Linked DNA regions of Neurospora crassa OR74A. The protein of the gene in region 1 interacts with the protein of each later gene in a biochemical or structural test. Links are inferred from orthologs where the notes say so. Each region holds a gene or a part of one and is shown in the gene's direction. Other genes may lie near its edges.

Evidence for each region. The genes of interacting proteins can lie anywhere in the genome.
Region 2: of the proteins of prk-10 (region 1) and pph-3, one has a biochemical effect on the other in vitro, tested with the Saccharomyces cerevisiae proteins (2 studies listed by BioGRID). The link is inferred for Neurospora crassa OR74A from reciprocal best matches to the Saccharomyces cerevisiae genes SNF1 and GLC7.

The regions. Positions count from the first base shown.
Region 1 is NC_026505.1:1,660,069-1,663,817, reverse strand, and holds the start of prk-10 (protein kinase SNF1), read left to right. Parts: upstream 1-905; 5' UTR 906-1,385; coding exon 1,386-1,801; intron 1,802-1,886; coding exon 1,887-2,722; intron 2,723-2,990; coding exon 2,991-3,632; intron 3,633-3,689; coding exon 3,690-3,749. Other genes in the region: NCU11040 (DUF92 domain-containing protein), read left to right, coding at 1-258. UniProt on the Saccharomyces cerevisiae protein: Serine/threonine protein kinase essential for release from glucose repression.
Region 2 is NC_026503.1:2,384,671-2,388,419, reverse strand, and holds the start of pph-3 (serine/threonine-protein phosphatase PP1), read left to right. Parts: upstream 1-933; 5' UTR 934-1,896; intron 1,897-2,044; 5' UTR 2,045-2,202; coding exon 2,203-2,382; intron 2,383-2,485; coding exon 2,486-2,887; intron 2,888-2,967; coding exon 2,968-3,267; intron 3,268-3,329; coding exon 3,330-3,358; intron 3,359-3,447; coding exon 3,448-3,463; 3' UTR 3,464-3,749.

The DNA.
Region 1 (3,749 bases):
CTGTCTGGCGAGGGGACGGATGCGGTGGAGGATGTCGGCGCCGCTGCCGGTAACAAGTACGATTCGCGCAACAAGCAGCGGAGGTCGAGCTTTGGAGACGAGAGGCCGTCGCGAGTGGTGGAGAACGGCTGGGACCTGCTTGATAACAATGATGTCAACTTCTTGATGGCATTCGGCATGAGCGTGGGAGCGATGGCCGTCGCATCATGGTATTGGGGAGTTCCTCTGCAGTCTGTGTTGTCGCCATGGTGGGCATAAGGCAGTCGCAGGTGGGTGGTGAATGACTTTCGCTAGAGATGTTGGCTAGCTAAACAATTCCATGGATGACATATGAGAGCTCAGTCGTCATTTTGATTACACATTCAGATCACGGCTTTGGGTGAAGCTTGGGCAGGTACCTTGCTCGCTATCCGGATGATGCTAACCAAAAGCCGGCGCGATTGACCATTGAGGTTCTCATTGTACCAAACATCCACAATTCAAGACCAGCGATCCGTACATGGGATCGAAGACCAGCCTGGCTTACAATTGAATCCTTTGGTATTCTATACACGAGAACGTTGTATACCTAGTCTTTGTAATTTCGACTTGCTACCATTTTGGGCCATAATGTGTGGTAGACACGTATAGGCGTACACAGGGCTTTTATCGGCCTTGTGACAATGGTCCTGTGACCGAGCCGGATGACCTCCCCTCGGCCAGCCAGGCGGTAGTAACGAAACATGAAGTAGGTACAGTAGCTGATGAATGATGGAACTTTCCGTCCGGCTCGGCAGCCCCGTTGTACCTAAGTTAAGGTGGCCGCTTTCCGGAGCGCTCTGACCCCGCGATGCTGCCGTTTGTCGTCCCTGCATCCTTCCAACTCCTCCACTAATTCCCCCATTCTTCACCCCAGATCCCCGCCCGACTCCTTCCACCCCGTTTTCCATTACACCATCTCTGGATTGTTGCCCCGCTGCAGTGTTCGCTTGTCCACTTCCTCCTATGGAACCTAACAGCTCCAACACCCACTTGATTGCCCGCTGCGCTGCCCGTCCACCGCGATTGCTGATTCTTGTCGGCTGACAACCGAACACCGACCGAATGCGCATCCGATACATGATGTTCTCCTGAACAAAGCAAGGCGGTACCTTACATCGACCGACGACGCTACAACACAGACAGCCCACCGAGCCTTGACTTGACGTCCCTAGCTTCATTAGCTCCAACCTCTTGGGTCTGTTCGCTCCCGCTCCCAGGATTCAATCGAGGGACCATCGCGGTTCCTCCATTGCCCATTCACCCTCTTCACCAGCCAGTCGGACGACATCTGGTCAGACGAAACGAACGACCTTCCATCCGCGATTCAGTGTCGTCCACTTGTGTTGCAAGCGACTCCGTCTGCCATGGCACAGGCCTACGATGACGAGGAGCTTTCCATCTCCTTGTCTCCTTCTCAGATCCGAAGTCGCAATAAGCGATCCGGCGATGGCGCATCAGGCTTCGGCCCCAGTACCGGCAACCTCCACGAATACGGTCAACACGGTCAGCAATTACACCCTAATATCAACGCCGTCATGGCCGACGCACCCCTCCGCGACAAGATGCGCACCGAGCAGCGCATCGGTGCCTATAACATTGTCAAGACGCTCGGCGAAGGCAGCTTCGGAAAGGTCAAGCTGGCTGTCCATCGCATGACCGGCCAGCAGGTCGCTCTCAAGATCATCGCCCGCAAGAAGCTCATCAGCCGCGACATGCAAGGTCGCGTAGAGCGCGAGATTGAGTATCTTCAATTGCTAAGGCATCCCCATATCATCAAGCTGTAAGGCACCCCTCGACGCCCATGCGCAGCAGACGTTGGCTCTGGTCCTTTACGTACACGTTGGCTAACCCGGCGCGCATACCAGGTACACCGTTATCAAAACACCAACCGAGATCATCATGGTGCTAGAGTATGCCGGCGGCGAATTGTTCGATTACATTGTTCAACATGGAAAGATGAAGGAGGACGAAGCCCGCCGCTTCTTTCAGCAGATGCTATGCGCCGTCGAATACTGTCATCGTCACAAGATCGTTCATCGCGACCTAAAGCCCGAAAACCTCTTGCTGGACGATAATCTCAATGTCAAAATTGCCGATTTTGGTCTTAGCAATATCATGACCGACGGTAATTTCCTCAAGACCAGCTGCGGCTCTCCCAATTACGCGGCTCCCGAGGTCATTGGCGGCAAGCTTTACGCAGGACCCGAAGTCGATGTCTGGAGTTGCGGTGTCATTCTTTACGTCCTACTCGTCGGGCGCCTCCCTTTCGACGACGAGCATATCCCCAGTCTTTTTGCCAAAATTGCGCGTGGAAGCTACATGGTGCCGACCTGGATGAGTCCCGGCGCGGCGTCACTAATCAAGAAGATGTTGGTTGTCAACCCTGTTCAACGTGCCACAATTGACGAAATCCGCCAGGACCCGTGGTTCCTCAAGGATCTGCCGGCTTACCTTCACCCTCCTGTTGAGGAGTTCCTCAATACTGGCGTGGACCCCAACAAGGCCATCAAGGTTAGCGACATTGCGCCAAATGCCCCTCCGCAGGAACAGGAGAAGTTGCATAATGAGGTCACGGAGAAGATCAGTAAAACCATGGGCTACGGCAAGAGAGATGTCGAAGAGGCCTTGGAGGCCGATGAACCCTCGGCCATCAAAGATGCCTACATGATCGTGCGTGAGAACAAGCTGATGCAGAGTAACCGTGAGTCTACGCTCCCTCCCAGCAAGTCTTTTGTCTTCTCATCATTGGAACCTATCGATCCCTTTGCGATGCTATACTCGTCCGTTTTGTCCTTCTTTCGCAGTTGATTTTGCCACGTCCCATCCTCCTTCGGCGTCCATTTTACACTTGCCTAGTGGTGAACATCGCTTGACGCAAAAAAAAAGCAAATCCTTGAGTTTGCGACCATCGTCCTTTTGGAGCAACACCAATGAGGAATACCAGGATACCCTACTAAAAACCGATGAAGAAATTCCAGGCCTCACGACAGAGGAGTCTGTCCCGAGTCCGCTCCATGACCCGAATATGTCATCAGCTCGCTCGATCGCATCCGTTAGCACAGCAACTTCACCGCGGCCATATGTCAGCAAGATCGGTATTTTGCCTAGCAGTCTTCCTACCTACCACAGGGTCTTTATGGAGCGAGAGAAGGCCAAGGCCGAAGGTCTTGAGCCCCCTGATGCCATCCCCACCATCGTTGAGCCGGCAAATCAGCCGCGCAGCCAAGCTGAACAAGAAGAGACTATCCGAAGACTCAAGCCACATTCGAGGAGTCAACTTCGCCTTGACGAGGCCAACAAGCGCCCACAAGGACTTACCCCCGTCCACCCGCCCAAGAAGAACAAGCCTGCTCGATGGCAATTTGGTATTCGATCCCGGAACGCTCCTTGGGAGGCGCTGGTGTGTATTTACAAGGCGCTAAACAAGCTTGGCGCTGGGTGGATTGTCGATGAAGACTACGAAAGAGCCCACCGGGACGATGACGACACTGATGACTATGATGGGCCTAGTATCGGGTCCCGCAAGAAGTCATCATCCAGCATGGATCCCACCAAGACATATAGACTTCCTGCGGACCCCTGGCATATCAAGATTCGGTGGACAACTGATAGTGAGTTTCCGGTCTGTCCGGCCCAAATGGCAAAGTTTGGCTAACATTGGCTGTCAGAGCTCAAAAAGCATTCGGTTGCCTCCGGCCTCAGCGAAGCAGGAGAGAACACGCATGTTA
Region 2 (3,749 bases), on another chromosome or scaffold:
GGGGGAAACGAGCAAAGAGGACAAAGCCGGAATACCAATGCAAAGTAACAACAAGGCGACCAAGAAGGCATTCCCGTCTTTGCTATTGCCGTGTACATACCAGGTAAGGTGTCACACTCACAGTCCACTATCTCTACACAGGGAGGGGGAAGTTGGAGGGTTGGGAGAGATGGAAGTTCCAGGCGACACCCACCAACGGGATCGCAAGCGGCTTTTAGGCGAGCCAATCCCAGGCCTAGACCTGCCAAGGAGGGTCCGGTGTTCGGGACTCTTGCTAACAGAAGTGCTCGCAGTTGCGGGGGAAGGCAGCGCAGCTCCTACCCAGTCGCGTTAGTGAGCAACATGGACCGACCTATCATCATACCTGCTTCCCCAGAGGCGAGTGCATGCAATTTTTCTCGAGCCAAGTTGGAAGGGCCGCTTCACTGCAACTGGAAAGGGCACAAGGGCTCGGCCAGGATCTGACGGAGATTCAGAGCGGGCGCGAAACCTAGGTAGGTACCTACCTACCTGGCTGGCAACCTAGGTACCAACTACCTAACCTAGCTCACCCAATCTGAGCCTGTCCTTGTTTGGGTTATTTCAGCCGTAGGTAGGTATGTTTGAGTTTAAGTTGAGGGTTGTTCTGGCCTGCCATCGCGTCGGATGTTTCGAGTTTTTTTCGTTCCATGTCACTGAGTGCTGTCCTGTTCATTCCATCGATGTGGATGAGAGCCCAGTCGGCGGAAAAGATCACAACTGCACCGAAACCCGACCCGACCGGACGCCTGTTGTGGTTGTTGTAACGATAACCTGACTGGCAGGCACCGAGGTGACCTGACCTGGGCTTGAAAGAACGCGGACCTGGACCTGGACCTGCCTGCCTACCTCTACCTACTGCTCTCCACTGCTAGTAGGTAGTCTGGAAGCCCTGTGCGTTTCATTAGCTGCGTTGCGTGCGTGTAAATCTTGCTGCTCCATCGGCCCAGTAGCCCAATCCCTTCTCTGCGTCCCCGTCCAGTCCAGTCGCCAGTCTTCTCTACCTACCTACCTCTACCTAGCCCATCGCCCGGCCGGACCCCCCCCCCCCAGCAGCGGGCAGCCCAAGTGGAAGCGTCTGCGCTTGTCCGTCTCCTCCCAAAAGTCTCTAAGCAACCACCACCGACGTTGATTTTTTTCTCCCGACGCTTTCTATCCCAACCAAAACAGGGCGACGTCTTTAACCACAAAGAACGCGCATTTTCAACCCCACCCTGGCGATAGAAGTCCTATTATCATAGGCATCATCTCGCGGTATCTCGTCTTCTGGCCTCCGTCGCTCAATTAGACGCAGCTTTTTCCAGCGACCCTCCGACCGGCCCAGCGCTCTGTACTGCACCTCGCTGCAGCACTTTGCACTCTCCCGGGCAGTCCATCGACCAGTTTTTCCCGACCGTGGTTTTGGCAGTGGCAGTGACAGCCTCTCCCGCAGTCTCAGGACTACTTGAACTCCCCTTCTACACCCGACCTTTTCGAACCCAGATTTTCGACGACGACACGGCGTTTTGCCCCAGCCCCGTCCGCGCGACAAAAAAAAAAAAACACGTTACCTCACAAAGGACGATCAGAGACTTCTGGAGCCGTCTCCTTTTTCCATCATTGCTAACCCTCTTGTCGCCGCGTACTACCGGACCGATTTCTTCGCAATTCCGACGAGATTTGCTTGCGCTTGCTCTAGACCGTTCGCACCTCCGCCAAACCCAGTGACGATTTACTAAAACCAAAGCACAACATTCGGTATCCGAAAGAATACCTATTTCCAGAAAAAAAAAACACCAAAAAAATCACCGCTTGCTGTATTCCCAAGGAGAACGCGTTCGCCTCTCCAAAAAAAAAAAAACCCCCAACAATCGCTTCTTGCTGGGATCGCTTCTGAGCGTAAGTTGATCAACTGCCGTTACATTGCGGCTTCCCAGTCTCTGCCCAGCCGTCGCTCCTCCTTCATTTTCCCGCCATCGCGATCGCGTGCGGCAAACCCCAATCAGAATCTGCGTCGTCATTGGCAATGTCTAACGTCTTGAATTAGTCGTTTAGCTTTGCAGAAGTGCATCTACCCCAGTTTCCTACTCCTTACGCGTGCCGCTCTTTTAGACCCGTCCCATCCGACTAGCTGGGGTTTGTCGGTCGTTACCGTGACTTCGAAAACCTGTGCGCGGTATCTCTCCGGTTGGTGAGGATTTTGCAATGGCGGACCATACCGAAGTCGACCTCGACTCTATAATCGACCGCCTCTTGGAGGTGCGGGGCAGCCGGCCTGGTAAGCAGGTGCAGCTGCTGGAAGCCGAGATTCGCTATCTCTGCACCAAGGCCCGTGAAATCTTCATTTCCCAGCCCATCCTGCTTGAGCTCGAGGCTCCTATCAAGGTAAGCATTGTGTTCTTTCTATTATCCCTTTACATAGCCTCGGCATGCGCCATACTGCCCCTTCGGCAGTGTTCATAGCTGACGTCGTGCCCCACCTCCCTAGATTTGCGGCGATATCCACGGTCAATACTATGATCTCCTCCGCCTCTTCGAGTACGGTGGCTTCCCTCCTGAGGCCAACTACCTCTTCCTAGGTGACTACGTCGATCGTGGCAAGCAGTCCCTGGAGACCATCTGCCTGCTCCTCGCCTACAAGATCAAGTACCCCGAGAACTTCTTCATCCTTCGTGGCAACCACGAGTGCGCGTCCATCAACCGTATCTATGGTTTCTACGACGAGTGCAAGCGGAGGTACAACATCAAGCTTTGGAAGACCTTCACCGACTGCTTCAACTGCCTACCGATCGCTGCCATTATCGACGAGAAGATTTTCACTATGCACGGTGGTTTGAGCCCGGATCTGAACTCAATGGAGCAGATCCGCCGAGTCATGCGACCAACTGACGTACGTTACACCATTCATGCCCGGGCTTTCCGTTTGCTCAGGCTAGTTGCCGTAACATGAGACACTAACAATAGCGCCAGATTCCTGACTGCGGTCTTCTTTGCGATCTCCTGTGGTCGGATCCCGATAAGGACATTACTGGTTGGAGCGAAAACGATCGTGGTGTTTCCTTCACATTCGGCCCGGATGTCGTTTCTCGCTTCCTCCAAAAACACGACATGGATTTGATCTGCCGTGCTCACCAGGTTGTTGAGGACGGATATGAGTTCTTCTCGAAGCGCCAGCTCGTTACTTTGTTTAGTGCCCCCAACTACTGCGGCGAGTTCGACAACGCTGGTGCTATGATGAGCGTCGACGAAAGTTTGCTCTGCTCTTTCCAGGTATGTTTTTCTGACTTTGGCAAGCTCCGAGACCCTTGCACTCTTGCTAACCCCCTTTGCAGATTCTCAAGCCCGCAGAGAAGAAACAGAAGTACGTTCCCAGTCTCAGATGAAGCAATTCAAGACCCCCAAGAAGCACAAGTAAAGAATTTTCTTACGAACACACCCGTTTTCCTTTAGGTTCGGCCGCCGATAAACGTCTGATACTTTCGCCCGCCCGCAACGAACATGAGTATCTTACCGTCAGCTTGTCTACCGCCGCCATGTTTCCTGATCGCCAGGGCTCCCAGCCATCATCCCGTCTGCCGTCTGTTCCGACCACTTCTTTTGGGGAGGTCCTCGCCCCTCCTGCCGTGCCAACGAAACGAAAGCCACGTCTGCCCGTCCTGTCTCTCCATCCGTCCGGTCTCCACACAACTCGAGAGGGTAGGAAGGAAAGGGAATCTTTTTATATCTCGGGGGATGAATAACGAACGACCTTT